Oryza sativa Japonica Group: one gene and its partners. The protein of the gene in region 1 binds, or shares a complex with, the protein of each later gene. Links are inferred from orthologs where the notes say so. Each region holds a gene or a part of one and is shown in the gene's direction. Other genes may lie near its edges. The genes, in order: actin-related protein 2/3 complex subunit 2A, actin-related protein 2 and actin-related protein 2/3 complex subunit 3.

Region 1 (10,985 bases):
TTCCCCGTCAAGAAAGTACACCTGCAGCGTTTCATGGTTAGGTGCTAAAAAAAGTACTATACTGTGCACGCAGTATGTTACTTTAATGCAGTGTAAATTTAAGCCAGGTGCTACAAAATCGAAGTGACTTCAGAAAAGAAGAGCATAGAAAGCTAAAGCATTCTGTAACCAATTGATTTGTATATGTTGGGGTTTCAGAAGAATACAAGGAGGAGCTTAAGCAAATAGCAACAACAATAGGCCAAACGGCAGGTTTCTAGCAAATATCAGTACTTCAAGGGTTTCAGCTTTCAACTTTCAACTATCATATCATGCATGTTTTTACTTTTCTCAAATTATTTGCCAAATTCCTTTGCTGCAAAGAATAAGATAAAAAAAGAAGGAAATCCTACATGTAGGGCAATGTCATGAGGCACTGAGGCATGATGTGAGAATGTAAGATGAACAATAAAGAATGAAACTTCAATAGAGAACATACTGGTAAGCAATTGACTACAGCCAATGCTGCAGACACACGAAATAAACAACTTAAACCATCTTGCAAGATACGAGGAACATCTGCAATGAAAAGCAAGAGAGGCCATCGAGGTCGGTAAGAGGATAACTTAATAGAATGTGCTGCTGATAACAGATCACCCGCATAAACAAAAGTTCCCTGGCAAGGACCCAATCCAGGGTTATTATTTCCATCATGCAGCAATGATGAGTTCCTTTCTTTCTGTAAGCACTCCAAAGAATAAGGTCTGGCATAAGAGATCTCTATCCATGAAATCCCAGGGCCTAGAACAGGCACCAAACAGTACTCATCCTGTCAGAATCGATCAAAAAATGTATAAATAAGAGAAAGGTAATGCAAAAGGATAAGCGATACTATAATAAGGAACCAATCCTCCAGGATTATTCCTAAGGGCTCTAATTCAGTGTTATTTTACCTCCAAACATGCAAAGTTGCTTCTGCCATCTTCGGCCCCCCGCCATCCATTTCCACATTTTTTAAGCTTGACAACATCTTTTGCAATCAAACAATATTTGTCTTCAACTTCCTTCTTGCCAATACCTTTCTCACTCATTCTTTGAAAGGCTACCAGATCATCTGGGCAAGATAGCTTGTCATTTATCTGCCAAAGATTCTTGCTTGCATCCATCCATGAGTTGGGAACACAGTAACCCTTTCTAGAACCAGTGGCACGATAGCCTTCAGAGCCTTCAAGGAGATCACGGCTGCTTATTTGTACTACATTGTCCTGAGTAAGCATTTTCATCCATTCATCAGCTCTTGTTATGTTCAATCCATCCACAGAAAGGATAAAATTGTGAGCAGACAAGTATCCTGACAGAGGAGATGCTTCTGGGACTCCTGTAATCTGTTCTGACAGCCTTTTAGAACATGAAGGATCATGGAGATCTAAATAAGGACAAGTTCAAAGAAACAGACTTACCATAAGACCACCAGTCACAAAGAGAGGATACAGCACCACAGGTAGTAATAATGCCATGATGACACATACTCCACATAACTATTAGACATGAAATCATAAATAAACATCATTATGAATGAACGTGCTTACAAAAATATGATAAGAAGCTGCAGCAGTAATGCAGAACTGCCGAACTGGCATTTCTCAAATGTGCTCCTTTTTTTAATTCACAACTTCTGGTCTCTATAGGTTAGCATGCATGCCACAAATACTGAAAATAGATGGAAATGCGCTTTAAAATTAAAAGGAATAGAAATATATGGTCAAATAAAATCAAGATATTTTACTTCTTTTTTAAAAAAAAATAATCCATGCACGCCAGCGTTACTTACCATAACATTATGCCAAATCCCTGCACAATAAATCCGAAGCATAGAAAAAAGAGGTAAATTTTGCAGCTGGTCACAGTTCAGAGCAATTAATGCCCCAGGAAAAAGTGCAGCTACGAATACCGCAACATACTCAATCTGTATGCCCTCGCTGTTGCATATTTAGCAATGAATGTGTCAGCAATGTGCGAAAGGAATACTGTAAGCGGGTGAAAGTTAATATTGTAAGTCAACATATAAAGTATGCCTTCTGCAAATGAATGCAAACACATGCAGAACATCTCGTAGAAAATGTAGGTCAGCAAATAAGGACCTTGCAGCTGCAACAGCATGTCCAAATTCGTGAAAAGCAATAGAAAAAACTGTTGATGCTATGATTGCTGCGATGTCCATTATTGATATGCCAAAGCTGGAAGCCTGCAATAGATTAAGGGCATGCTGAATGGTTGATGTTAGAAGTTGAAAAATGAAGGGACAAATTGTAGTCACCAGTAGATTTTGTAGCCAGGTACTAAATGACCGACCACTGAAATAAACTGCACCAATTGAGTCCCACAATAGCATCTGAAACATGCAACAGACCACAGTACATAAACGTGCACATTTCAAGGCAAGTACAACATATGAAACTTTCCAAAATTTTAAAGAAAGGATGAAGACCACTACTATCCCAGTGATATCCTACACAGTTCATAAAAACAAATGTCGAGATTGATAGGGTGTGCTGGCTGTTCTAACGATTTAAGCAACAATGTCAACAGATTCATGATATAGGTAAGGTAATGAACATTTTTTAGTTGGCATACGTATTTCAGAGTATTGGTAATTATTCGACACTGAACTTACCACTGATATTCCAACTAAAGCAACAACAGAGAAATAAACCCCTGCAGAAAACCATGCTCTCATGTATCTGCCAAAAAGAAAGTTAACTAATTTACCATAACTTCAAATATCTTGGCATCAGCATAGTGAGCAGCAAGGAAACTATCAATATGGTTACCCCATCAGATTACACCTCCCCAAAGGGGCATGAGCTAAAACTTTCAGCAACAGCGAAGAAATTTAACTCCAAATGGTACAGATGGCTCCTAGAGTGCATTTTTTCTCATTCTTTTTAAAGAAAAGAAACCTTTGCATCTTATGTACAAAAATGAAATAAGGTGCTAACTTGGCTATATTCTTGTTTATAGTATGTAAAAGTCCATGGGTAATTATATAAATATATTCCTCTTTTCGCGGGGAAAAAGGGTACAATATGCACATCAAAGAAACACTGAGTAATTAAAGAAGATAAAAGGTCAAAAGTTAAGATAAAGCATACCTAGCATATCTCCATCCCAAATTAAATATGATGTCATTGAAGGAATATATTTTGCAGTCACAGTACCTAAATTTTGTATAAGCACAGTAAGTGAATATAATAATCATTGCCTCCACTAATACAAAATGACAGGAGTAAACTGCATTGAAATATACAAGAAATTGAAGAATAAATGAAAGATAAAATACGTGTCCAACATCTCATGCAGTACTATATAGAGTCGAATGCAATTTTTCCATGATAAGCTGATAAGCAGATTTAAAAGGAACAGAGAAACTTGTTGTCCTGAAAATTAAAACCATTCTGCGGATGGCTAGATGCAGGGGAGACAATTCAATTTATCAGGATTAGGGCTGAGGATGAATGGTGTATCCCAACAGCAGGTCTGAACCAGTGAACCCAACAGGATACATCACTGAAATTTGGTAAATCGATACAACACACAAATCGAATTTTCACCAACTGTTGAAAGTGTACTACTAGAAGAATGGAAACTACAACATTGCCAACCCATGTTAAATTTCCAAATCAAGCTTTATAATTTCGCCTAACGGTTGCCCGCATCCTACAAGCTCTAAATCAAGCTCTGCTCTACAAGAAACCAATGTAAAAGTACTGGGAAAATAATTACGAAGAACGCAAGCATAGGCTCGATTTAGCCGCGACTTAGGGTTTGGTGAGGGTAAGAAGCTAACTAGTACTACTAAAATCTGACTAGATCGAGCGGTTTTGAGTCAGAATCTCTCTACTTCACTGACCAGCAAGAGACGGAGTGCTCGGCGCGGCGGGCGGCGGCGCTCGAGGGCAGAACTGGCGGCGCACGGCCACGCCGCCTGCTGCGGCCGACGCCGCCGATCATTCCAGCGGCGACGGCGACGGCTTGGACACGGCAAGTTTTGGGGGGGGGGGGGGGGGGGATTAACTGCGCAGGGCGGAAATCTCAGCCGTCCGATTCAGATCGGAGGGTTCATATTAGCGATGGATTCCACTACGCCGACTGCTTTGGCTGATTGGCTCTCGCATTGTCACATTTAGCAAAGGAGCCCCTCCAATTTCACCAGATTTACATCTCCACCCTCCTCCTCCTCGTCTTCTTCCTTCCTCTTCCCATTCTGCTCGTCCGTCTCCGATTCGCAGCCACATCGACAGATCCAGCCGCGCCCCTGATCCAGTGGTAGCTCGAGCGAGGCTGCTATCACGGTGGAGGATTTTCGTCTGATTCGAGGAGGAATCGGTCGGGTCGAGCAGAGGAGCGGAAGAAGAAAGATTGGTCGGAAGGAGGAGAGAGGTGGGGATGATACTTCTCCAGTCGCCGTCCAGGTTCCTGCTCCAGATCCTGCAGGATCGCGTCCTCAGGTACGTCGCTGCGCGGCCGACCATCCCCTTTTCTTGATCCCGCTCGTCGCCCTTAGCTCATGCGGGTTTTGTGTGGTTTGCAGTGGCGACAAGGGCGTGGACATCGATTGCCACACGGTGGAATTCGACGATGTGCGGTATCATATCCAGGTAAGTAGTACCGTACTGCCGAATCTGGATATCCATTCTTGTGTGCCGCCTTAAGATTTAATGTTAAAATTGAGCTTGCTATCTATACATTGCTGCATGTGTAGAATGTGTTATGCTATGTTAAATATTTCGGTGCAGAGCTTCGTTCAGTTATTGGTATGTTGTATGCACGAAAATAATACCAGAAACACCTGAACTAAAGAACTGACCTGTTTTCTGGTGCTGAATTGCTCCACGATCTCATGCTATCCAAGTCATTGTTGCTACTGTGGTAATGAAATTGTTCTATAATAATTTGGTAAAATTGGCATCATATATTGGAGTGGATTGTATTTCACCTTCTAATCAAGATAATGAGGCTGCCCGCATATCTTTTGTATAAGCAGCCTTCCATAATATTGGTGATCATTTTCACTTATGAGCATATAATATTATACCTTGCTTGGAGGGTTCTGTATTTCACCTTTAATCAAGATAAACTCCTTAGAAGCTTAATTATCATATTTCCTTTTTCTTTTATGAATTTATTGAACTCTTGACATTACTTCATTATACATGTTTTGGGTGTTGGGATCAACTATTACCTGCTTCATATTTGATTTCCTAATGAATGCTGGTCTTTGGTTCCAGTTTTCTATGAGGAATCCAAAGGTAATGGTGCTATCAGTAGCATTGCCCCTCCCACCTCCTGAGGCCATGCTATATGATGGACTTCCACTTGGTGCTATCGAGGCAATAAAGGCAGCTTATGGACCAGTCGTTCAAATTCTTGATCCTCCAAAGGATGGCTTTGATCTCACAATGAAGATAAACTTGACAAAGCTTCCGCCAGATGAAGGTTCTAGAGTTCCCTTTCCAAGGTTACCATTGTCTTGTTGTGCTACATGATTGAATTAGATGATGGTTCTATGTACCTTGAGATGTCATCCATTGATAGAACTTTGGTGCAAGCTAATGGTTAGAAATGGATTCATCGTTTACAAATAGATGCTTTACGAAAATGTCAAATATGTTATGTATAGTGCATTTAATTATCATGGGCTTCTCAGACCATAAATTGGCTAATTGTAGAATCTTTTAGCTATATGGATTGATTTTGATGCCTTCTGTAAATGAAAGAGAAATGGAAGTCAGTAGGTTTTGGGCAGTCCATTGAACAAGTCCATTTCTTGTTGATAGAAGGAATTCTCATATTTCTGTTATACTGTCAGACTTCATATATTTGCTTGTAGATACTTGCACATATTCTTCCAAACATGGTAATGGATCAAATTACTGTTTGTGATTATTTATTTTGGTCAGGCCTATCAAAATCATGGAATCTCTATGTGTATCTTGTAACCATTATCCGGCTAACACTTTAATGTATTCCAGAGCAAAGGAATGCTGTCTTGACTCAAATTGCATCTGTGAGAGAGGTGGTGCTGGGTGCACCACTGAAACTTCTGCTGAAGCATCTAGCTTCAAAGACGGTGGCTCCTAATGTTGACAAGCTTGTTGCTCTTGTTCACCGTCCTAATGAATCCTTTTTCGTTGCTCCCCAGGTATAAATTTGAGAACTCCTATAAATGTATCTATCATACTTCAAAGCATAGTTTTCCTTTGGCAATGAACAGCTAGGTAGGTTCTTAGATATATCAATCTAGATTAATCTATTTAAGAGTTATGTATTTGACGTTTACTTTCAGTTCATACAGTCCATGAGATTAATTTCTTTTTCACAGGCAGACAAAGTTACAGTAGTATACCCTATGAGGTTCCAGGATTCCATTGATATAGTTTTAGCAACTTCCTTTCTGCAGGTATTTTGGACACTTCCTTCTTGTCTCTTTTATCTGCTTCAAGCAATTCATTTTCTAGTTTTTTTATGATCATTTATAGACATCTTCAACAAACCGATCTTTAGGCATTTAGCACTACTTTCATTAAGACTTGAACGGATATATGCCTTAACTTAATGGTTTTGTGAAAGTTTGTCTTGAGGCCATTTCTTGATGGCATAACCATATTATGAGAAGCAACTTATGGAAGGACACAATATGATGGGGCAGCTCTGCCTATTTTGTTTTAAACTTTTCTGGTTAAATCTAGGAATTTGTGGAAGCAAGGCGGACTAGCGCTCTTAACAACGCCCCTTCCTGCTTGTGGTCTCCAGTACCACCTCTTGAGTTAAAAGGAGTACCTTCTGATGCACTAAATGCAAATGCCGGTTTTGTTACTTTTGGTAATATGCATTTAAGCGTTTTCTTCTGTTTTTCTTTTCTATTGAAGACCCCTTTTTTGTCTCACTAACTCATCTTTATGCAGTTGTTTTCCCGCGGCATGTTGAGGGTAAAAAATTGGACAAAACAGTTTGGAGTTTGTTGACTTTTCATGCTTATGTAAGCTACCATGTGAAGGTAAGGTCCTTTTTTCTTATGTTGGCTGATCCATACTTCTCAATTAATCAAGTCCGTGCATCTGTCATCCATAATTGTGAATCAACCAATTGCATCCAATGCGCAGATTTTCCATCAATGGGTTAAATTTGGCTTAGTGAAGATGAAAATCCATTGTTTAATACTGAGCTCTACTGTTATGGACTATTTCCAAGAAGATAATATTCTTTTGGTTGCAAATGGCCCCAAGGAACACACTATTTGGATCTTTTGACCAGATTCCTGCCAAAATACCATCAAATTTTCCTAAGTCTATTCTGGGTGAATTTTTTTTCCAAAGATGAAAAATATCTGATTTGCCCAAGACAGCTGATATTGCTATTGCAGAAAGCCACCTTGGAACAAATTGGAACATTTTTCTTAAGCCACCTTCAGCATGGGATTTTAAGATTTTCATGATTCAGTAGTTGACACGGTACTTTATTGGGACATATTTTAACCTTGCCACAGTTCTCTTGTGCTCGCTTGTGAAACATTTCTCTTTGGCTTATATACATGATTTTTACTCTTCCATGACTTGTGGTTTTTAACTTCACAAGTTCTCAGTCCCTTCTGTTTCCTGTATGGCAGTGTTCTGAAGGATTCATGCACACCAGGATGAGACGTAGAGTTGAGACGCTGATCCAGGTAATACAAACATATCCGTACTAAATTGATTTCCTTCAATATATCCTATGGATTATTTGTTACCTTTATTCAGCACCTTTCGCTCTCAGCTTTGAGTGGTTGTGTAGCGGCAGATGCGGGTTTAGTATCATGAAACAAATAGACTACAAATCATTGCTGTTAATTTCAGTTTACTGGTTTTTCCTTGCTAAAAGGCTGAAAGCTGGTGATGCACCGAGACCACCTGAAATAAACTGATAGGCCATATCACTCCATGCCTTAAACTGAGTATATTTAGTGTGCTAGGAAATTGGTCATGACGGTTTTCGGGCTTTCAAAGAAACTAAATTACGATTGCTCGCATCTAATCGATAACTATTTGAGAGCTACTGCTATGATTCATGGAGGTATCATGGTATCATGTTGTGAAATAACATAGTGACTTGTCCCATGAAGAACAGCACTGCATAACTATTGTTTTGCTGATCGACCTTACGTGCAGGCTTTGGATCGTGCAAAATCTGATGCAGAGAAGTTGAAGAAGTTGGTGAATGGTGGATCTTTCAAAAGGCTGGTTTGTGCAAATACCTTGAATTCGTGCTTAAACCCATCTTTTCTTTCACTGATTAAGACTCTCCTCGCAGAGCTTGAATAATGACGGCAACTAGCGTCAGCGAAGATGCTGTCGGTGTGTCAGTAGAAGACCTTTTATATCCTGGGACCATAGAGCCGCAGCTGGTGAAACAGAATCAGCATCCGGCTGTTCATCGCTTGTTTCTTTTTTTCCGGGAGGATATTCTACCTTGCTGAATTGAGGGTGAGGAATAGATTAAACTGAATTGACCTTAGTGACTTGCGACACCATAACGGCGTATCACCTGAGGACGCTCATTTCTTGTTGGCCCTCCTACATCGATCCATCTTTCTACACTTCCTTCTATGTTTGTTGATTGATCCATCGGCCCAAGTCAGTCTAGGCTATTATGAGTTCGATTTTGTAAAATATTGTTTTCTATAGCCTGTCAGATGATTGTTATTTTCATTGTAGCTGTGCTGAAATGGAAACTCAAGAGCAGTTTTATTACATCATTATTGTTACAGGCTCACACACATGGTGCTCTTACAAACAGAAGAACACTCTAGGCGCACGTACAACAACAAAGTAGCAGCACCATTCTTTCTACCGCACGGTCTTCACGTGAACGATATCACGCGCCGGTCCCGGTGGCCCCGGCGTCGGCGCCGGCGCCGTGGCCGACCTGCTTGGCGTCGAAGGCGCGGTCGTCCACCTTGCGCGCGGCGGGCTCGTCGACCTTGTCCTGCACCTTGTCGATCTGGATGGCGCCCTGGTCCTCCCGCGAACGCAGGTCCGTGCGCGTGCGGTTCTCCCCGCCGCCCACCGACTCGTACGTCGTCGGCGTCGTCTCGCCCATCGGCTGCGCGCCCTGCGCCCCCGACATTGCTGCAAAAGGCTTGGCTCGGCTGCTGCTTCCTTCCTTTACGCTGAACTCTCGTAGTCTCGTGTGGCTGCTGAGGGTGACGCCTCGCCGGGAGAAGCGTATATATAGCCGGGCTGCGATGTCGCGCGGGAGGTGTGCTGCGTGCACGTGAGGAGGCGGCACGGCGGCGCGTGGCATGGGTCAGGAGGAACGTGGCGGGACACATCGGCGTCGGCCGCTGGACTCGTGTCGCGGCAGCGCAGCTCAGGCGACCGTGACGTACGATTTGGCCGGCGCCCAGTAGTCATGCAGCAGGATAAACATCACAACCCAAGGTCTGCACATCTGGGATAATGGCCGGCGTGCAGGATAAACCACCTGGCCTGGTTGTTATCCGGCGGGTGAGGGGTGAGAGCGCGTGCTGCCATTTGGGGCATACGACAATGAATAAAGCCACAATGGCACAATCCCAGCACGACAGCAAGTCGATAGGTATAGGCTGACGCGTTACAGTTTGGAAAAATCCTGTGAGTTCAGAAGATATCGTCCCCCTGCACGGCTGGCATGAGGGCTCTGCAAGGCTGAAAGATCATACGCTGCTGCTAGAAGCATTTACAGAAGCTTCACAGTTAAAACCTTACTTCAACCTCTTTACGACAACACAATTAAACTTCGAATTGTGCACCATGCTTCCTTCAGCCCAGATTCCAAGGTACGAATTATCAATCAAGAAATTATCAAACCATCCAAATGAGGAACATAGATAATTTTCCAGTCGGACGCTAACTGATAGGGATAAAACAACTATCAGCAATGACAGATTGTTCTATATATCCTTTATTTGGGAGGTCCCGTCTACGTGATATCAGCATCTATGGACTGCTTGGATCGACAACAATTTGTACCGATGCTGTAAATGTTCATTCAGTCCAGAATGAGAACTCGAATGGTAATGGTGATACAGCCAAAATGACTTTAAAAGAAGGGAAATGAAGCACTGAAGTTGGCAAGAGTATCTTGTAAAAAGCTCAGTTGGCTGCCAGTCTTGACCGGAGCTCCGCAGCAACCGCATCAATGAACTCTTCAGTGTTCAGGTAATGGCTTCTTGTGACGCTACAAGTCAAAAAGGAAAATAAATTAAACAGAATGAGTTCTTTTATCATAGCTACAAAACTTTGCAGAAAAACACAACTGAAGTGCATGAGGCAAAAACTGAAACAGCATAACATACTTTGAAGACCCGTGAATAAGAAGAGCAAGGTCTTTGGTCATCTTCCCAGATTCCACGGTTCCAACGCAAGCAGCTTCAAGTTTTAGTGCAAAGTCAAGAAGTCTAGCATTGTCGTCAAGCTTTGCCCTGCAGTGCACAAACAGTGCATTTGCCATGAGTTAATCATCCAACTCAGAGAGCCAGACCCAAGCATAGAACGACATGAGCTACTTCGCTATTTTCGGTATTTGGCGAAACAATAAGATGATGCTAATTCACCATATAGCTGACCAAAGATAATACTTCTAACAAATAATTCCAAGTGCTAGAGACATAAAGTAGGTAGGACTTGTACCTGTGTGCAAGTCCTCTGGTCCAAGCAAAGATTGAAGCAATGCTGTTTGTGCTGGTTTCACCTCCCTTCTGGTGAACACGGAAATGACGGGTAACCGTGCCATGGGCAGCTTCAGCTTCAATTGTTTTTCCATCAGGGCACACCTACATATTAAACAAAGTAGTGTCATATATATTAGGCAGGGTTCAACCAAAATTAAGGCTTTCCACTGTACAGAAGACAACACCCTAAAACAATATATTTAATATTTAGTCATGAACAATAAAGTAGAAGTAATATACATAGTTACATACCAATACT
Region 2 (10,720 bases), on another chromosome or scaffold:
CAGGCTGTGGAGCTGTGTTCTCTAGAAAGAAATCCCTCCTTCCACATGTAAAATGGAACGATGAATTAACACAATTAGCTAAAAAAACTTTAAAAATGGATAAGATCATATTACTATATGCCCCGTCTAATAGTTTAGGAAGCGTGCACGCAGGACCTTTCAACGACAAAGAGACAACGTGAGTGCAATTTGGAGAGACGGCGGCAGTGACGCTTTAAGCAGCCGCACGTTGCTGGAGATCGGCATGAGGGATGGTGGCGGCAACTACAGATTGTCTTCTGACCATCAAATTAAATATGAATAACTCGTCATCTCTTTGAAACAAAGGGCGCTTCCGGTTCTGTGCGTGCTTCAAACCACTTTGTATTCTCCATATTACCATATCTATAGAGTCTAATTTTCAATGAGGAACTACTGAGTTCAAATGCGAAGACGGTATAATAATACGCTATGACAACAGTGCTGCGGTTATCATTGATAAAAAGGGAATCCAAATGGAACTTGCGTTTTTGGCGCAATGGCCGAGGAATTGAGAGAATTGAATTTTACTAAAATAGTTTCATAAGCTCATGAAGTATTAACAATAACAAAAGGGAAATTTGAGCCTTCTTTGTTGTACTTGCTAATTCAATGCAAACACATATAAGCTGTAACAGATGGTTTCATATTTGAGCCTTTTTTGCTGTACAAGCTCATTGCCTGTAACAAATGCTCATTGTTGGAAAATAAGAGAGCAGATCAATCTAGAAGTCAGCTCCTCCTCTAGTTGCCAAGCTGCAAACGCATGTGAATGGAAAAAAACAACACAGTGGGTAAGTTAGGAGAAGGTGACTTTTTCTCTTTTTCTGAAGGTTGGAGCTCTGCCATTATATTAAGAAGTTGGTTTCAGACTACAATTCAAGGATATTACATGGAACAAAAAGCAACTGAGCTTTCACCATAAACTCCATTGCATAGCGAATATAGTTGGCCAGTTTATTTTTTGTTAAATTTCCTGCAGATAGAACCTTGTGGTGTACAAAAACCGATCCAAAGAACATCTGCCTGGGTTCATCTGGTGCCCAACATAGTTCTTTCGAAATTGTTACAGGTCATTGAATGATGACATGAGCACTGATTGCAGCTATCGATGCCTCAAAAAATCCTAAGCTATTATTAGAGGGGCATCAAGCATACAGAGTTATCTTGAAAGGAGAGGCTAAGTGGCTATGGAGAAGAGAAATTCCACTGACCGCTTCTTCATCGTCAATTTCCAGCCGCCGCTGGCCTTCGTGAGCCATTTTGCCGCTTCGCCCACAGTTGTCCAGCAAGAACTCAACTGCTGGGCGCTACCAGTCGTCGCACAACCATCTCAGTCGGAAGCGCTGGGTTGCTTCTAACTAAAATTACTAAAGAAAATCCGGTCATGAATTTCACAACTTGAAGTCCATGTGAAAGAGGCCAAATCAGTATGGTCTTTATATTTATTCTTTGCCTTCATAATACACTGGAGAGTTGAGCATGACGATATTAACTAAATGAGCCTTGATCATCTGGGCATGGTATGCTTATTATATAAGATAAAAAAAATGTTCTTTAATTACAACTATCTACATATCTCTATGTCTACTTGGGTAACACGCAGCATTCTAGCTGAACAATATCCTTCCAAGCTCAAACCATTTGTTCAGAAAGGACGAATGAAAATAATTTGTTCCTTAATATATCTATTTTCTCATGATCAAGAGCAACTTTAATATTTATGTTGAAATCGATTACCAGATAATAACCTGCAGCGCATCTAAAGGTAAAATGGGTTTCATAACGTCAAAAGATATCGGGTATGGAAATATTTCACCCAAACATTCTGATGAAATGAGGATCTACCTTTGTCATCCATATTGGCACAAAGAAAAATGTTACTGTATCAAGCATTTTACAGAAGTAAGCAATGGCCAAGAAGTAGATGCCTCACCTCTAGCTGCCCTCTACCTGCAACAGCATACAGCACGGTGGATCCACGGAAGTCGAGATACTCCGACACGTCGGAGCGACGCTCGATGAGCTCCCTCAGCATCTCCACGCTGCCGCCCCCCGCGGCGGCGTGGACTGCCCTACTCATCATTTCCAGCCAGAACACCGAGGAGCAGCCACCACCGCTCCTGCGCCTTCCCCGTTGGGACAATTCGTCGAGCACCTCGGCGACATGGCGTGGTCCAGCAGCAGCTTGAACACCTCGGCGTTCCCGCCCCTCGCGGCGGCGTAGAACATGTCCATCACGCCATGCTCGCCCTCGCCAAACACCAGCAAGGGATCCCTGTCCATAAGCTCCTGCACGAACGCCATGTCCCCCGCCGACGCCGCCGAGTAGAGCAGCCACCCACCGTAGCCCGCCCGGAGCAGCGTGTTCTCGGCGGCGGCGCTGTTCTTGCACTCACACTCCAGCAGAGCCGCGCAAGGGTTAAACTCGTCGGGAGCAGTGCAGATCGAGGGGGATCGGGGGCGGCGCCGCCGATGATGGGGACCGGCGATGCGGGCTGACCGGGGGCGGCACCGCCGATGATGGGGACCGGCGATACGGGCTGACCGGGGGCGGCGCGAATGCAGACCGGCGACGCGGAAGCGAGGGATCCGGGTGGAGGGGGCGGTGATTTGCCAGGGGGAGGGGAAGCGATCCGGTCTGGATCGGATCGGATCGGGAGGTGCTCGAGAGAGGCGCGCGGTCGCGCGAATGCGGAGGAGGCGCGGTGATTGCGGCAGAGAGGGGGGTGTGGGACGCGCGCTGATCTGGGACGTTGGATCCAAAATCTTCAGATGGGTTTCGACCGTTGGATATGTGATATGATGAATGAGTAAAACTATTTGTTCAACTATAGGGTAGATACATACCGAGCATCTCACAAGCTACTATTATTGATATGAACACGAAATTGTAATCACATGCGAAATACGTTGGTTTTTTTAAGTTACAGAAAATTGCTAATCGTTATTTTAGTATTTTGAAGTTAAATTAAAAAAAAATAAATTGAGAGTAGTTTTTATAGATCTCCAGGATTTGCCGGCCCATCCTTCGAAGATGCTCATAGGGGTAGGGTTTGCGTGCACGCATTCATAGGGGTGAGTGTGCATGCGTTGTGAGTGTCTGTGTTGTACCGTGTAATTCTTAAAAAAAAAATCGTGTTAAGAACTTAAGAGCAAAAAGTTTTGCAATCATATAAAGATGACATCATTCTAGACAATAAGGTTAAACTATTGAATTGTATCATATGTGAAATACGTTGGTTTTTTTAAGTTATAGAAAGTTGCTAATCGTTATTTTAGTATTCTGAAGTTAAATTAAAAATAAAATTGAGAGTAGGTCTTATAACCTGTAGCTAAATTTTATCGTGTTAAGAACTTAACAACAAAAGTTTCCCAATCGTAATAAGATAGCATCATTTTAGACAATAAGGTTAAATTATTGAATTGTGTGAACTATAGTTATAACTAATATAATTTGAAGACGTCTAGCAATATTTGAGAAGAAAAAGACGAATAAGTAAAATGCAGGCTTACATTAATATACTCGCTCAATCTTTACAAATACTTTTAATCACTATATCTACTACATATAAAATTATTACATTCTCCATTTATTGAATCAAATAATACTATTAGCAAATCAAACCAGCTCAGGCTTTGGTCGTTGGTAAAAAACGTTTTTTTACTAGTCTGGCTTCGGCTTCCTGACCAGCGGTAGCGCTAGCTTGGTGAGTATCTGTCCCTTCAATTGAGGACAAATTTAACTATTAGGTGGCAACCCTCTAAACGCCCGATTAGTGCCTCTCTCTCCCTCTTCATCTCACCATACTACCCCCTTCATGCTGGTCGTCTCAATCTTATAGCCACCTCGCTAGCCGTTGTAGATTGGTAGCCACCCTACCAATTGCCGGAAGCCTCCCTGTTACCATGCCTGCTCATTGTTGGAGGAGCTCTAGCACAAGGTAAGCGTTGAGGCCAAATAACTCGCCAGGCGATAAGAGGAAGTTTGGTGCAGGAGGAGTCCCCACTTAGAAGTGGAGGTATTTTTTTAATAACAATGGGTCTCCAAGGACAACAGTTGTGAAGAGAGACCTAGGCGGCAGAGGAACTAGAGGGCGTAGGGTTCCCCAGGTTAGGATGTGACGTCAAGCTCGTCGCCACCCAAGTTCCAAGATGCACACCTTGTCTTTGTCGAGCTCAAGCGGTCACCTCATCGTCAGGGTTGACGCCCTCCTTCATGTTAGAGCTAGTTTGACAACTAGCGGGTACAACGATAGGGACTTTGCTATGATTAAGGTGGCTGTTAGGCTTTAACAGCTAGCGAAGAAATGAAATATAAAGAAATTGCTAACCTTGCTATGCTAGCGGGCCATGTAGATAAAAGTATAACAAACCACCTTTATTGGATGATAATTTTGTGAAGACAAAATTAAAAGGAGGCATTTAGCTCCCTCTATCAAAATCCTCTTGCTTAAGATCGGAGAGACGTGGTCGCTGACACGTGGGCCCGATGGCAATGGGCTCCACGTGTCAGTGAGACAAATGACTACTCTCCCAACCCCGTCCCCGTCCCTCCCCTACTCTCTCGCCTTCTGTTCCTCCCCCTCTCCCTTCCAACTTCCCAAGCGCGCGCGGGGAGACGATCGGCGACGGCGACGGCGAGGCGGAATGGACAGCGGGAACGTGGTGGTGTGCGACAACGGCACCGGGGTAAGCCCGCCCTCCCCCCCTCCTCCCGCAGCCTGATCCCTGATCCAGCGTGGCGACCTCCCTCCCTCCCTCTCTACCTCCACGCTCCTGCCCCTAGATCTGCACCCCCTCCGTCCCGGTTCTTCTTCTTGGACGGTTTCTTGGATTTCTTCTGAAATTTCCTGAATATATACGATAGGATTGTTTCTCTCTCTTTGGTTGGGGAGTAATTAGCATCTGTGCTCTAGATTCATTTGTGCCGAATAAGTTTTGCTGCTTACTACTGAGCTGTAATTAATCTAGGATGAAATGATACGTGTGCACATTGCAAGAAATTGAAGGGGGAAATTGCTCTAGTATGGTGGAATTATTGTTCTCCACATAGGCAGGAAAAATTGCTGTAATACGATGAGATTATTGTTCTCTGTTGAATCTTTAGATAATGTCCTTCCAAATGCGGAACTGGAATAGATAATGTTCATTCATATAAACCACATTAGTTTGATATTTTGCGGTCCAAAAGAAATTATGCTGTTGTCTTTGGCTTAGTTTCTGTTAAGTATTTTCCACATCATTCCTGTGGCTTGATGTTCGATATGCTTAAAGCCTTAAACAACAGCAGAACATATCATATTCATAGGTGATCTTGTTAATTTCTAATTCGGTACCTAATGGCTAATGTTGCAGTATGTAAAGTGTGGCTTTGCGGGAGAGAACTTCCCTACATCTGTGTTCCCTTGTGTTGTTGGGCGACCATTGCTCCGTTATGAGGAGTCACTCCAGGAGCAGGAATTGACGGTCTGAAATCAATGTCTATCTTTGTGTTTCTGGCATTCCCTCATTCTGTCTCTCTCTCAGTACACCTTATAATTGTGATTGTGTTCCACGCAGGATATTGTGGTTGGAGCGGCTTGTGCTGACTTGAGGCATCAACTTGACGTATCATATCCTGTTACAAATGGGATTGTTCAAAGTTGGGATGATATGGGCCATATATGGGATCATGCATTTTACAGTGAGCTGAAAGTATGACTTTTCATATGATTTATATTACTTTAACATCAGACCCTTTTAAATTTATATGCTCATAATTCATCAACATTCTCCGTTATGTGTCTTGAAATCTCTTAGCTCTAGGTAAATCAATGTATTTCTATTTTGTTTCTTTAGGTTGATCCTTCTGAGTGTAAAATTCTACTGACAGATCCACCACTCAATCCTGTGAAAAATCGTGAAAAAATGGTAGGTTGTTTTCTCCCATCTGGCTGTTCTGTACTATGAAATTTGTTTTTTAAGATATCACTAACTAGCAAATTGAATCCTACGATAAATAGATTGAGACAATGTTTGAGAAATACAACTTTGCTGGGGTATTCATCCAGGTCCAAGCTGTTCTTTCGCTATATGCTCAAGGTACTCTCTCTCTCTCTCTCCCCTTCCCCCCCTCTCAGTATACAGACACATGTATGAGCTTGCACACCTACAAACACAAAATGTACTGGTTCTTTTCTTAACATGTATTATGTTTGTATCCTTTCCAGGTTTGCTGACTGGACTTGTCATAGACTCTGGTGATGGTGTCACTCATGTGGTATGATAATAATAGTCTTCCCTATATTGTACAATCTACAAAGATTTGAAATGCAGAGATTCCATTTCTGTTAATCTTGTGGTGCACTACAAAAATATCTATCTGATGCATGTTTATAATTTTCTACTGTGCTAATGGGTATTCCTCAACTCAACAACTAAGAGGATCTACCTTTTTTTGTTGATCCAGTGAAGATGTATGACCAAGACTATATGCATACCTTGTTTCCTTGTAGGCGGCTTAGTAGAAATCACAGCCATTGAACACCATAATCTATGATTTCTGGTCAAAATGTCGATCATGGAAATAAAATGATAATTTAAACTATACTCCATAGTCCATAGTTAGTATGGCATGCTAGTGCCCGTTTAGTTATTCTCGCACATAGCCAGTTAACATTGTAAGGTTATCACCAACGTGTGTAGTAAGTAGTAAGCACAAAAAGTTAAGCAATTGAATACTGACTATTGTCAATTTGCAATGTGAAAGAAAGTTTTATCTAGATTTACTTTTGCCCGTCATGTTTATTATGATCCAGGTGCCGGTAGTTGATGGATTCTCTTACCCACATATTACAAAAAGAATGAATGTAGCTGGAAGGCACATAACATCTTATCTTGTTGATCTACTCTCAAGAAGAGGGTAATACTCTTTATCATTTTTATATGTTTGTAGATAAAAGATGCTCTGAAAACACAGGCTTATGCAATTGTTTGCTTCAGTGTTTTTCTTATCAACTTAATTTCGTGCTTTAAAGGTATGCTATGAACAAATCTGCCGACTTTGAAACAGTCCGGGAAATAAAAGAGAAACTATGTTATTTAAGGTCAGTTGCTTTATTGTTCTTAATTGTTTTCGCTATAGCTTGCTGTCACATTTCATAGAATTGAAAAGGGAAAATATGTACAGCTATGATTACAAGCGTGAATACCAGCTAGGACTTGAAACCACTATCCTTGTCAAAAGCTACACTGTAAGTATGTTAACCTGCTTTGTTTCTATTTGGTCCCTTTTTGTATTATTGGCTGAACTTTTGTCATCAGCTTCCAGATGGAAGGGTAATCAAAGTGGGCACTGAACGGTTTCAAGCTCCTGAGGCTCTTTTTACTCCTGTAAGCTTGTACTCATACTATTCTTTCATAGCTTGCTGATATACATTAAGGCATGCATTTCTCTGTTAGGATCAGTACCAACATAACATTGATAAAACATTTGTTGAGCAGGAACTCATAGATGTTGAGGGTGATGGAATGGCAGATATGGCGTTCCGTTGCATTCAAGAAATGGACATCGACAACCGGATGACAGTATACAGCTTACCCATACAATATGCTATATTTTGTTGCTCCAATCTTTTCACTTGCTTTTGTTTATCTTCAAGTATTTATTTGTAACATTGTTGATGAATTGATGAGTTAGATATAGAACCTCTGTAGTCTTCAATTGAAATTTCGAAGGCACACTTTGAATTCAACTACACATGGCTTGTCTAGTGAATTTGTGCATAAGATAATCTTTGATAATTTAGGATTACTTTGTTTTGTTATTTGGTAGCAACTTGATAAGACCATGGTTTTGCATAAAAAATCCACTTACATATATACATGATTTTTATGTTGTTGTCTTAAATTAGAACTTGCACAGGTAAACACCATAAGTTGAATTACTGTCAAATGCTGAACACACTTCCAAATGTTGATAATTTTTCATATTTAGTACATGTGTATGTGTTAATGTAAATTAAGTCAAGAAGGGACAAATAAATGCCAGTTATGTTAGTCTCTATACTTGATTAATTGTATTTTAAGTTGTTATGAAGTACTTCTAGATAAGCATTGGATCATGTGTTCTTCTCTCATTGGATGTCTGGATAACATCTTGCAGCTTTATCAACATATTGTCCTGAGTGGGGGAAGTACCATGTATCCTGGTCTGCCAAGTCGGTAAGATTTGACAAACATATCCCGCTCTGTCTTCTTTTGTTTACTACAGTACATATTAACGATTAGTTTCAAACAACACTATTTTTACACTGAAGCTCACATCATTTTTGGTGGTCTATGCCACTCTGATTTTTTGCCTGTTCTATTTCTTACCAATGTATGTGTTTAGCTGTTTTTATAAGCTTCAATATTGGGTATGACTTAACACATTACAACATTTTTGAAGACTAGAGAAGGAAATGCTTGATCGCTATCTTGATGTGGTTCTGAAGGGAAACAAAGATGGACTGAAGGTAATATTTTTTTGTGGTTATTTTGTAGCTGACAACAGTTGAAAATTTCATAAGCTTATTGAAATCAAACACAAGGAAATTCCCAAGTTTTTTTTCCAGTGCAACACATTTTCTTATTCAATAATGGATGTTGTCTTTTCAGTAAGGAATGTGACCATTTTCACTTCTGTCTATGTGCAGAAATTGCGTTTGCGGATAGAGGATCCGCCACGGAGAAAACACATGGTTTACCTGGGTGGTGCAGTACTCGCTGGAATCATGAAGGTAATATACTTTTCCCACAGCGTTATATATCTATCGGTTATTATAAGCAAAGCCTTGGGACAAAGTAGAGAGGTGAACAGAAAAGGAGCACAAAAGATGAAATCATGCATTACTGTGTGTGCATTGTCGCATGGGAATCTGCTCATTTTGCTTTATTACTTTGCTGACGGCTGTTCACCTAGCAGGATTCACCTGAATTCTGGATTACAAGGCAGGAATACCAGGAAGAAGGCCTTGCGTGCCTAAGGAAGTGTGGACAAGCATAGCCGTCGAGTATGTTCCTATGATCCTACCTAGATTCTCATCAACAGCAGATGTGAAAGGCTCTCTCATTCTGTTTGCAGGAGACAAAAAGGAAACCTATGTTTAGATGATGGATGCACATTACTTGTAGAAAGATGAGCACATAGTGTTGTTTGTTGTCCCTATTGTTCAGGATACTTGTTGGTGCATGTTGTAGCCTAGAAGCCACTATGAACACAAACTCACCATATAACCATGATGAGCAAACATTAGATATATTTCATTTTCTATTGGTAATATACCTATGAACACAACACATATTTCTACTTACTATATTATGTACTGGTGAGCTGATGCTCTTCATTTGGTCCCTGTACTGCTAGGGCAAATCAATTTACTGATAGGGAAAGTCAATTTACAACGAAGCCCTTAACATTAGAATTGCTTTGAGATTTGTGCGGATGGCATATATTTCAATGGATCGCAATATTGTATTCTTCTTTTTAGTATATCGTGAATCTTAACAAAACATCTAATTGTTCAGCATAGCACTTATATTGTAAAAATCATCTTCTCTACTGTTGTATGAAACTTTTTGCTGCCTATATTTATCTTCATCCAAGAAATCTGTGAGTTTCTTAATCAGCTGCAAACTTTTAGCAAGTTCTGTGCTTTAACTCAGCCCATTTAGGAAAGGTCATGTTCCATTTTCCAAAATTGTACTCTTTGCTCAAATATATTTTCTGAAATTGTTTCTTTTCCGTGTTTGGTAGAATTTGAATTATTTTCCGCATTTTAACACAAGATGTTTGGCAGAATTTGAATTGTTCACCGCATTTAACACGAAGATATTGTGCTAAATCAATAGTTAAATGCCTTGCATACGATGTTGCTCTTGGTGAACAACAATCCATTGTCCAATGATGTGCAAGCGGGGAATTCTGAATTTATGAGACGCAACCAAGCCAGGGTAGTGGCTCCAATGATTCAAAAATGTAAGGATTGCGGAAACCAGAATTGAATAACCAAAGGAATCCCAAAATTACAGAGTTCTAGTCCAATCTGAAACGAACGGTACCATCAAATTCCTCTGAATATGCGTGCCAGGATACCTCTTTTGCCTTTCTTCTTTTTTTCTTTTCGATCTTTTGCCTTCCTTTTTTTTTTTGATAGGAAAAGCTTTTATTAACTTAACGGCCTGGCTAAATTGCCATCCACCATACTCTCCATGCCCGTAGGCGTGCCGTCCCAGGAAAGGCCAGCATTCAGAGAGCACTTACAACCCAACTCCGCAAGGGCATGCGCCACACGATTACAAGATCTAGGGCAATACAAAGAAGCAAAGGAAGCAGCAATCACTCTTTTAATCTCAACGATGACGCCTTCCTTCCTTGATGATAGGGTGGTGATGGCAGATTATTAGAGTCTTTTAAAATGGTATAGCTTATTGAGGACACATATAAATGAATTAAATATTACAAAGTTGATAAGTTTACTTATTAAGACAAGTTCTTAAAAAATACTAATGAAGTTTCTGCAAAAACCACACCCAAGCATATTCGTGGTATTTTGGTGGACATAATCAAAACTTGCTCCCTCCATGTTTTTTTTAAATAATAGTCGGTCTTGACTTCAAAAATTTTGATTCGGTTTTGATTTATAGTTGCTCTTTGAACAACTATGTTTTTAAATAATCT
Region 3 (10,952 bases), on another chromosome or scaffold:
ATGAAAGAAGCCACATCATGGCATGTAAGAAGCCACATCATCAATAATTCTAATTCGTAGAGACAATTCACCAAATGGCACTTATGAGACACTCTTCAAAATGTCTCTATAACACTGTAAAGGCATTTTAAAAATGTCTCTATAGTATTAGGAAAATGTCTCAACAATGTATATTTGTTGTAGTGCAAACACATTCTAATTAGAATATCATCACTCACTTCTTAAACAATCATATCTTCCTATATAAAGCAAGTCATGCAAGAAACCACGTCATGGCATGCAAGAAGCCACATCATCAATAATTCTAAGCCGTTGGATCGCATTAGTACATAGTTATCAGCCGTTGGATCAAGAAGCTACTCATCTAGTCACCTTCTTTTAGATTATAAGTAGGCGTGACATTGTTATCCATTCTGTACATAATATTATGTTTTCTCCTCCCAAGCAATCCAAGATAATGCAAACTTATCTTCTTTATTTAATATGAAATTATTATATAAGATATGAATTTTGTTTTGTTATAAACAATTGGATAACATAGAGTAATTAGGCATTATTAATCCAAACTTATTTTTGAAATAAGCTTGAGATAAAGTAAAGATGTGCAAACTACTCTAATTATGACGGCATGTATATTGTGCATGAAAATAACTTACGTATATCATAACAATACACAATGACGTTTTAAAATAATAAAACATGAATTGTATTGTAATAGCAGAGGCTATATATGAAGCCACATTATCATTTATTTTGTTTATATACAGAGTTACATCTAATTATTTAAAACATTGATTTTATTTGATGATAAAACTAGCAAATCCCGTGGCAAGGCGCATGGTGCCAACTAGTATATATAGAGCATTATTATCATTGGATTCTCAACAAGTGTCGATCTCTAATTCATCTATAAAAAATTATATGATTATTTATAGCATTCTAGATTATGTTTAATAAAAATATCTTTCCACTTCTTAGAAAACTAGTTAGGTACCTTATATAATTACAATATTATTAACAAATATACTAATTATTATTTACTCATGTAAAAACATAGATAATATATATTACAGAGCACACACATATGAGTTAGCTACTAGTATTCATGTGCAAGTACTAGTGCTGATTGTAGCAATATTATTATAAAAAATAAATAAGAATGAGAAAGCGAGAAGAAGATGGAACAACAGAAGAATATAAGATTAAAACTTTAGTTTTACACCGTATTAAGACGAAGAACAATTTTGTTAATATTAGTATATTATTGATTAATGTGAGTATATACCATACCATGAATGTGAGTAACTTTTTCCCACGTGTGTTTGAGCTAATGACTAAACCTCCTTTTTTTTTCTTACCTTCTTTCGAAGTTCTCCTAATGTGTTCGGTAAAAAAATGTTTTGTTTTGAATAAAATAAAGAAACATTTTTTGACTAGATTATTTTTTAAGAGAATCCACTATGTGCCGCTTACTTTGTCCTTGTACTATAATATGGCACTGAGTTTGTTAAGTTATACAATATGCCATCGTATTTTGCTTAACCTCTATAATATACGTCACCGTCCATTTAGACTTCGTTAGTACTGTATAATTTTGTTCTAATGACCGAAATATCCCCGGGACAGAAATTCCAAAATTTGGCTGAATATTCTGAAATATCATATTATAAACAAGGCAGAGAAGATATTCATCTCAAACTTTGGAAGTTTTACAATCTGATATTTGGAATTTTTCGTCCCATGGCTATTTCGGTCATTATGATAAAATTATATAATACTAACAGATGCTAAGTAGACAACGATGGTATGTTATAGAAGTTAAACAAAGTGCGATGGCATATTAGAACTTGACAAACCTAGTGACATATTATAGAATAAGGACAAAATCAATAACACACGATGGATTCTCTATATATTTTAGGAAAAATTAGAACCATGCCATTATAATTTTGCAAAATCTGATATATGTCATCCTGACCCACATGTCATTGACTCATGTGGGTCCTACATGTCATTGAGATACCGATGGCATATCTCAAATTTTGAAAAATTATAATGGCATGGTTCCAAATTACCCTATATTTTATGGTTGTTTAGTTCATTACCTATCTACTATCGTGCAACATTTTTATAAAAAGTTAAATCTTATGCTATAAGTTCATATCATACACATTAAATTACATACACTTATAATATAATTTTCAAATTATACAATGCCATCTTCACATTTTATAGGAGAAATATGAAAAATGATTTATTATCTATTTAATTATGAGAAAAAGTATTAGTCCAAATTAATGTATATGTAGAAAAAAATAATATGAAAGAATTACGGAAATACCTACAATCGTATATCATGCAGTAAGAAAAGGAGACCACAATCGAATCCCTTATTGTTGAGCAAAATTGATGGCATTAATTTTATCTTTTTTTAGCTAAATCTATCTGACTATAATTAATCAGCCCGTGTTAGTAGAAGTCTGCATCTTCATGCATCAATATATCATAACTCATAACTCATAAGACTATTAGTAATAGCCAAGTACACTGACCCAACAATACTTAATATATCACAAGACTATCGGGTAATGGACAACTCATCTTTGATTGTATATCACAGGAGTATCGGATAACAGACAACTCATCTTTAATTGTGCTAAAGAAAAAAAAGTAAATTATAGTTCGTACTATGTATTCTTAAATGTTTTCATATTATGTCAGCCTTTAACCATTCTTTTCATTTACAGAACAACTAACTTTACATTTCAATTTGGACCAACCTATTTCATCCATCTCCAAGTCCAATGACTCTATAACCACACACTAACTCTCTCTTTCTCTCCATTTTATTTTCCCCCGATAGTTGGGGAACCGCTAGATCCAGCAAGAAGGAGCCTGGATCTAGCGTCTCCACTCTTCATCGGGTCGACTCCTGCCTCCGTGAGTCGCTACAATAGTATGCATGACAAGAGGGAGAGGAAAAAAAGATGGCTCATGGAGTGCAACTAGAGGGTGCAGTTGCGCATGCAAAGACAGAGAGGAGAAACGATGGTGGCTCATAAAGAAAGAGTGGTGGTGGCGGTGCGTGGAGTAATAGTTAGTGGTTACTGGTAGTATGAAGAGTTTGTTGTCGACTCAAATCGCTAACTGAGTTTGTTAATTTTTAGAATGTGGACCACTAGTCATTATAAAGAAATAGTCATTATAAAGAAATAGCTAGTCTTATAAAGTAGTAAAATATTGAGATATCATAAAGGTGAGAGTACTCGTCTAGAGCTTTTAACTTTTTACCATTTTTAAAATATGGTAATTAAGAATTTACTACTCACAATCTATAATACGTGGATCCTTATGTGTATATGACACGAGAATGCTCCTTCTCGGTCGCGCGAGGGGAGGGGAAAAAATCGGTCGCTCCACCCTTCCCCCATCACGTGCGCACCAGCAATCTCTTTGGGCCCCCACCACATGTCCCCTGTCCCCACCTGCCACTTGTCCACACACACAACTCTATTGCAACAAATCACCCACATATTTTGAAAACCCTATATTAAGGGAATTTGGTTTACTTTTTGTTCCACCAAAAAAGTTTCACGTAGTGTACTCATAATGTTTCACTATGTATAGATCTAATGTTGCAGTGAACTAAAATATTCCATTGCAACAAAAAAACCCACATATTTTGGAAACCCCCTATTAAGGGAATTTGATTTATTCTTTGTTCCACCGAAAAATGTTTCACCTAGTGTACTTATAATGTTTCACTATATATGGATCAAAAGTTGCAGTGAACTGAAACATTCTTTCACTATTTGCTGAAACATTGTTTTTATATAAGGTAAAACAACACCCAATTGAAACGAGTGAAATATTTTCGATCTACTTAGTAAAACAATTCCGATATACCTGGTGGAACATCGTGCAACATTTAAAAATAATTCAATAATAAGGTAAATTTTTTTTCGTCGAAATATATGCCTGTGTGGCCTTGTTTTGAAGATTTAATTGCAGCGAATTTAATGATGCAATCGGATTATGATATGGATAAGTAATTTAAGAGAAAAATCAGTTTAAAATAGTTTTTCACGTAAAGCGTCCGATTTTTCTCCAAACCGATCAGACGCACGATCCGTAGACTCGTCCGTCCGTATATACATGTGGGACCAGCGGTAAATTCTTAATAATTCCCAATAGTAAGAGTCTGAGCGTCTTCCCCTTCCCTTTGTGGCGTAAAAGAAAGAAAAGAAAATCTCCCGTCTCTTTGTCTCCTCCGCTCCTTGCGCCGCCGAGACGAGTCGCGGCTGAACAGGGGAGGGGCGGCGATCTCCATCGGGGCGAGCAGAGCAGGGGAGAGGATTCATGGTGAGCATCCGCATCCTCTTTCTGATTCATCTCTCTCTCTCCCATCGGGACTACTTTTGTCTGGAATTTGCTTGCGTTCGTTCGTTCGTTCGTTAACCCTAGCTTCTCTTCTAGATCTGGAAGAAGCTCTTCCCTTAATTTCAGAGCCTTAACCTTAATACAAGTAACAGTTTGTTTATTCCCCGAGAAGTTTGAACCCCCATGTCCCAAGTTGGATCCGCTCCTGTACATAATATTGGCAGCTTGTGGCACTCTTGAATGGAGGTCTTGGAAGATACTTTAGTACCTGTTCTATTAGATTGGTGTGTTATAGGCCCTGTGTGGAATACAAGAATTTTGCTCGGTTTTCACCTTTAATTTTCCTTGTATTTCCACCTTGTTTTGTTAGATCGCTGTTGCTCACTTGCTTGCAATGTACCGTTATCTGAACATCATATGCTTTTTTTCTACTTGTGGACAGGTTTATCACTCTAGCTTTGTTGATGACACCGGGATTACCAAAGCATGCGGCTGTCCTTTGCTTCCACTAAAAACTCATATAAGGGGCCCAGCGCCAGCATTCGATCAAGGTATACTGACACGGTGACAACATAAAATACATTGTGATATACTTCCGTGGTTTCACTCTGACAGAACCATGCCAAGCTGCTGATTTATGTCGTGCTATTACAGACAAGGCTGACATTGTTGATGAAGCAATTACATTCTTCCGAGCAAATGTCTTCTTCAAAAACTTCAATGTGAAAAGCCCAGCAGACAAGTTACTGATCTATCTGACATTTTACATCAATATTGCCCTGAAAAGGCTGGAAGGTTGCCGAACACTGGCTGTTGGGACAAAGGCAATCATTAATCTGGGTTTGGAGAAAGTTCCTGTGCCTGGGGAACCAGGGTTTCCCTTCCCTGGTCTTTTCACTCTACCCCAATCTCAGGAGGAAGCAGGTATATGACTTCATCCGCCACTACCACATTTGTGTGCTTGTATTCTCTTTTACTCCCTCCGGGTTGATAATACTTGTCGTTTTGGACAAGAGCACGCTTTCCAAAAAACAACTTTGGCCATTATTTTTAATTATAATATGTATAAAGGTGTTAACAAATATATGATTTTATTAAAGTACTTTTTAAGACTAATCTATACATGTAGTCACCATATTTTAAAAATGATTCATAATCAAAGATTCTAAAATTTGACCTCACCCTTGTCTAAAACGATAAGTATTATCAGTCCGAAGGGAGTAGTTTCTCAACTGTGTGAAATCATTGTTGCTTTTTATTCCTAGAGAAAAGCTTGCCTTATTTCTCGAATAGTTAGTTTTTCTTCTTTTCCCCCAATTGTTTATCCATGCTGCTTTTCTTCTATACCATACTATTTGTCCTGGCTAGGGAAAAAACAAAAGAATGAAGCCTATTGGAAATTTAGCTTTTGTGAGATTACAAGGGGACCTTTCCAAACTACAGCAATTTATGTCTTAGATACTTTTATTTTGGATTTAACTAAATCTGTAGTGAACTCCTTATTTGATGTCCTGTATATATGTTTTTTTTTTGTCAATTTCTATGGTCTAAACTATAAGTCTGCTCTGGGTATAGAAGCAATAAGTTGCTTACTGACTATTGACAACTGTTTTTAGGAACATCCAAGTTGTAATTGCATCAGTTTTTTTTTTACTTCTAGGGACTAAATAAAACAGTAACTTTCCATCTCTCATGGAATGTGATCTCAATTAAGCATTTCTCTGTTGGATTCAGAACTATTGAGGAATTATCTGAAGCAGATAAGGGAGGAAACAAGTGGAAGGTTGCTTAACTGCGCATACAGAGCTAATGGTACTCCAAACAAATGGTGGTTGGCTTTTGCAAAGAGGAAATTCATGAACATTGTCATTCTTTGAAGTATAGGTATTTTCCGCGACATGTTTGAGCAATTGAGCAGCTTGTAGGAATGGTAATTGCACTTGCGTACTTATTTCTGCGAATACTTTAGAGAATTAAAGGAACGACAATGATTCTACACCTCGATTGATGGAGCCAAAGGTTCTAATGAAACAATGGATAGAATGTCAACAATTTGTTTATTGCAATGGATGAACACAAGGACACCTTTCAGCTGTTATGTTGAATTTCTATTTTTCATTTTTATTGTACTCCGTCCGTGCCCTTAAATTGGGCATGTATTTTTCAGATGATGTTTGAATAGCGAATGTTCCGTGTAGGACATTTGTACAGATTTAATCAGGTGTAATGAGAATGTGAATATATATTTTCCTGATCCCTCTTTTTTGTATCATTCGTGTTAATCCTTTATCTGTTTTTTTTTCAATATGATTATAAGATATGGAGAAACCTGGACGTGCGCTTCCCTGATCTTGCCAAACGTTGGGAGTAAACTGCTGCTTATAAACACCTCAAGTGTGAATTGGCATGGTTAATTTCATTATTCGATGAAGCATTCTTTGATACAAGGTGCTTATAAACGATTTGAATGCAAAGCCCATTGCATCACTGAGACCTGAGGTGATATTCAAGCTCTATGGCTTGTCAGTCACCATGTCATTCGACACAAAGGATATCTAATGCCAGGTGTTCATACATAGATTCAGAAAAACAAAATATCATTCGACACAAAGGATATCTAATGCCAGGTATTCATACATAGGTTCAGAAAAGCATTATTGACCACCAACGCAACGCCCAACAGAACTGTTACATTGTGTAAATCCTCTTCGACAAAAAAAAAAGAAAAAAGAAAAAAAAAGGAGAGAGAGAGAGAGAGAGAGAGAGAGAGAGAGAGAGAGAGATCTCAACCTGATCACAGAGTTAAATCCCATGACATAAGGACATCAGAAGACTAAAATGTCGTTTTTAGCGTGTTTTTACCATCTAAAAGTTCCATCATCCTGGCATGAGCAAATCCAACGTGTTGCTTCAGCAATCTTCATCAGAGTATAATAAACTGGCTAATTCAACAACCATCTCCGGGTCTTCCTTTCTACATGTTTGCCCAGCATAGTAAATAATATGTTGGTGTTCAAAAACAGCTAGGTTTGGAAATTAGCCCAGTTACAAGCTTTCCAGATAGCATTGCACAAAGATTCTCACCAGTAAATAGCCAGTTAGTTATGGTTCTGCAAATAAGGCAGAAAAGGGGGCTTTACATGTGACACAAAAAACAGGTTCAGTCCATGCATTTCTTACCATATTACATATATGAAGATAGCTGGCTAAAAGTAAGACGAAGCATGATATGGTTGAAAGCATCAAATTACTTCCACAAACACTACACAGGATAAGAAGAGGAAACCTCTTTATTGTTTTTAAACCCAGACCAAATTTTGCAGCACACCTCAGATGAACATGTTTCCAAACCTCCCAGGCACCTTCTCAAATGTGTGGTCCTGAGATATTTAGTATTAGCATGAAATAGGTACCGTAATTTTTGTTGGGAATCCATGCTATAATTTTCTAAAGAATGATGATTATATAAGCTAATAAAAAGGAACTTGCTCAAAAACCAAGTAACTAACAAGAGATATTACCCATTGAATGGATGAGATAATCAATCAAAGTATCAAACTAACGATGTTGCAAAGAGCATGTATGATAAAATTGTCAGGCCATCACAGTTGGTATGTGTCACACAATCTCATTGGTTGAATTTGATTTGAAAAGTTAAATTTGTTTGAAATGGTAGGCTTGTAGAGATATGGCCAAAGATATCCACAGCTTTCAATGGAAGTTATCTTTAGTCCCCAGTCCTCTACAACACATCTATCTACCAAGGATTGTACAATGGAGATAACTGGCAATAAGAAGGGCTACCACTCAGCATACAGATATTAGTCTAAATCATTTGGACAAAATTCCGCTGCTAAAGCAAATTCATTGGTTCTAGCACAAGGCCAAGGCTATGGCATACAGCATGTGATGGAGTTCTGTCAGATGCTATCGCATACCTTCATGTTCAAGAGCCGAGCAAAGAAAACATATGTGCAAGGAATAAAACACCATAGTGATCTGTTAAGACTTTAAGAACAAAAAGGAAAAGAAGCCAGTGCCAGTAGGTTTGGGAATTAGCAATTTATGATTTTGAGTCACATGCAGTAAAGTACCCACATCCTAAGTGACTAAGACACTGGACGAAAATTAACTCAGAGTCTATGTATAGAAACAGTTGTTGACCACGCTACAACATGGGTATGATGCTATTTGTCTGATTTTCCAAATTTAAACTTGTCAGTTTCCTATGCTGCTATGAAGTGATTATTGAATCTCCAAATCCAAAGTTGGTCTTGTTTATAAGGATGTAGAAATAATTCCAGAGGTTTTTGAAGATCCATGGAAGAAATACCATGCGTGCATTCTACTATATGACCCAAAACGGCAGCTACATACTCAAAGACATTGGAAGATCAAAGCAGGGTTTATTCCAAATATCTTTGAAGATCAAAGCAGGGTTTATTCCAAATAGCAGTGCAGTTCACGTCTGCCAGGGATAGCCATAGCATTGCTGGCAGATCCTCCTAGAGCCATCAGCCTCCATGCCAGAGAACTCATGCTGTGATTCTCACAGAGCAATATAGTACATGCTACATAAGAAAAATATTCCATTTGTTATTTACCTTATGTCCACACTCTTCTTTGGCCACAATCTTTTCCTTGTTTTGTTTTCTAACTTACCAGGCATTTATACATAATTACCTATAGCAGAGTCATAGACACAGACAAGATATGCATATATACTTCTAAATCAGCAAGTGCTATTTAGACTTCATTTACCTTTCTAAAAAAATGAACCATATAAAAATAATGCTCACTATTATCATCTGATTAAAAAAGGTCTAGCTTTTTTCCACATATATTATTCCCTTTAGTTCTATTGGTAGTGCAAGTTTGTAAAAATAAATATCAATAACAACACAAAATGATAAGTTTTCAAATCGAGTCAATGTACATGCAACTAACTGGTGGACCACATGAATCATATTCTTTATCATGTGAAAATGTCCATGTATATTATGCTTTGCTATATGGAACATCCTTGTGGATATTCTTCCTCATTTCATGCCCTTTCAAAACTCTGGAGAAACCTGATACACAACTTATTCTTTGGAGAAGTACCAAAAGATGTGCGGATCAAGCAGCTCTTGGGCATCGAAAAGCCGCATAACACTTACGAGATCAAATCGTTAGTGCAACATTGACCGGAACATGCTTACCAACAAAGTCAAAGATTTCAGTTTGCACAACCACTGAACTTCTTTGTCTTAGTGTTCTCTCCTTCCAGAAGGTCTCGCATGGCTTTACAGTTCCTAAAGAAAAGTAGCATAACTGATTAATAAGCAGAACTGTCCATAAAACAACCAAATATAAGTTCATCACTGTAATTATGATCACAAACATCTTAAAATATGCTTCATAAGTATGTCTAGTAGTGTTTCAGTGAAGAATAACACTTTGTAGAAACATGACTCACTTTTCATCTTGGGCTCTTAGCTAATTCATTACTATCAGCATCCCTCTTCTGCCCATGATTGATTCATCAACCAGAACTGTTTTGACACGGCTCAGAGTGCTCCCTTTTCATCCAGTGCTAGTCACGTAGTGCCCCATATGAACCTGGCTCAGTTGGTATGCCAGTTTTAATTGGGATCACTATTAATATACAGAACCATAAAGGTTTTAAGTCATGTACACTTCACCCACCTGCATATGTTTGGAGCTAATTCTACTCTTGAAGGTGTAAGCATACATTTAAAGCAGATGGAGAAGGCAGTGCAAAGATTTTAAATTAACTTGCTGTATTCTGAACTGCTGGGTTACAATTTCCTATTGTACTTGTATGACAAAAATGGCACTTTAATTTGTACTCTGACTCATTTCAAATCTAAGGTTTGTTTTTCCAAACACATCCTAGGTGGCATAAACAAAATATAAAGTGGAAAACGTCCATAAAACGAATAAAACACACACACACACACACACACACACACAGAGAGAGAGAGAGAGAGAGAGAGAGAGAGATTTCTTAGATTTTGAATCATTGCTCATGGCCAAACCACATCAAAGATTGATTGTAAAGTTTGGACCTTCGGTGGTGGGGTGTGTGGGTGTGTGTGTGTGGGTGTGGGTGTGTGTTGGGGCTATGGGGGGATGTGGAAAAAATGAGCCAATTTTTAATACACCTAACAACGGTATGATGTTTTTACTACTGTTGAAAATACAAGTTATATTTATGTTCCATTTCATAACTAACAAGTTCTCTTTCATGTCACTGCTTGATAATATCATAATAACATTGTTTCAGATTTCGGCAGTGATTTGATCTGATCAAAACCATATGGCGAGCTCCTCAGGCTGCATGTACAAAGTATTACTTTATAAAAGTTGTCCTTTGCTGTGAAAGAATCAGATGCAGTAACGGATTCTTCATATACAGCTTCAAGAGCACCCAGGGGGAAGATCCATAAGAATGTCCCAGAACAGAGCATAATATCAGGCTATCAGCAGGATCCACGAAATGGAAAAGAATATGATCCAGACATGGCCCATCGAATTCAAGCTCATGTTCAAGACTGGTTCCCTTTTGT

The links.
Region 2: actin-related protein 2/3 complex subunit 2A (region 1) and actin-related protein 2 share a complex: the UniProt entries of both Arabidopsis thaliana proteins name them as parts of the arp2/3 complex. The link is inferred for Oryza sativa Japonica Group from reciprocal best matches to the Arabidopsis thaliana genes DIS2 and ARP2.
Region 3: actin-related protein 2/3 complex subunit 2A (region 1) and actin-related protein 2/3 complex subunit 3 share a complex: the UniProt entries of both Arabidopsis thaliana proteins name them as parts of the arp2/3 complex. The link is inferred for Oryza sativa Japonica Group from reciprocal best matches to the Arabidopsis thaliana genes DIS2 and ARPC3.

What each region holds. Positions count from the first base shown.
Region 1 is NC_089035.1:27,105,453-27,116,437, forward strand, and holds actin-related protein 2/3 complex subunit 2A, read left to right. Parts: upstream 1-4,249; 5' UTR 4,250-4,425; coding exon 4,426-4,487; intron 4,488-4,570; coding exon 4,571-4,637; intron 4,638-5,267; coding exon 5,268-5,475; intron 5,476-6,011; coding exon 6,012-6,181; intron 6,182-6,361; coding exon 6,362-6,439; intron 6,440-6,728; coding exon 6,729-6,861; intron 6,862-6,944; coding exon 6,945-7,036; intron 7,037-7,645; coding exon 7,646-7,702; intron 7,703-8,183; coding exon 8,184-8,255; intron 8,256-8,325; coding exon 8,326-8,349; 3' UTR 8,350-8,765; downstream 8,766-10,985. Other genes in the region: membrane-bound transcription factor site-2 protease homolog, read right to left, coding at 1-21, 479-808, 933-1,364, 1,440-1,517, 1,811-1,958, 2,121-2,245, 2,297-2,371, 2,654-2,720 and 2 more; uncharacterized protein, read right to left, coding at 8,890-9,141; cytosolic isocitrate dehydrogenase [NADP], read right to left, coding at 10,149-10,233, 10,352-10,477, 10,686-10,828, 10,979-10,985. UniProt on the Arabidopsis thaliana protein: Functions as actin-binding component of the Arp2/3 complex which is involved in regulation of actin polymerization and together with an activating nucleation-promoting factor (NPF) mediates the formation of branched actin networks.
Region 2 is NC_089042.1:17,332,287-17,343,006, reverse strand, and holds actin-related protein 2, read left to right. Parts: upstream 1-4,555; 5' UTR 4,556-4,668; coding exon 4,669-4,710; intron 4,711-5,376; coding exon 5,377-5,487; intron 5,488-5,580; coding exon 5,581-5,715; intron 5,716-5,859; coding exon 5,860-5,931; intron 5,932-6,023; coding exon 6,024-6,102; intron 6,103-6,230; coding exon 6,231-6,280; intron 6,281-6,818; coding exon 6,819-6,922; intron 6,923-7,037; coding exon 7,038-7,106; intron 7,107-7,189; coding exon 7,190-7,253; intron 7,254-7,323; coding exon 7,324-7,392; intron 7,393-7,503; coding exon 7,504-7,587; intron 7,588-8,164; coding exon 8,165-8,223; intron 8,224-8,449; coding exon 8,450-8,516; intron 8,517-8,696; coding exon 8,697-8,780; intron 8,781-8,965; coding exon 8,966-9,046; 3' UTR 9,047-9,461; downstream 9,462-10,720. UniProt on the Arabidopsis thaliana protein: Functions as ATP-binding component of the Arp2/3 complex which is involved in regulation of actin polymerization and together with an activating nucleation-promoting factor (NPF) mediates the formation of branched actin networks.
Region 3 is NC_089036.1:7,664,587-7,675,538, forward strand, and holds actin-related protein 2/3 complex subunit 3, read left to right. Parts: upstream 1-4,224; 5' UTR 4,225-4,359; coding exon 4,360-4,362; intron 4,363-4,822; coding exon 4,823-4,931; intron 4,932-5,034; coding exon 5,035-5,304; intron 5,305-6,040; coding exon of another isoform or gene 6,041-6,051; exon of another isoform or gene 6,052-6,114; coding exon 6,115-6,257; 3' UTR 6,258-6,649; downstream 6,650-10,952. UniProt on the Arabidopsis thaliana protein: Functions as a component of the Arp2/3 complex which is involved in regulation of actin polymerization and together with an activating nucleation-promoting factor (NPF) mediates the formation of branched actin networks.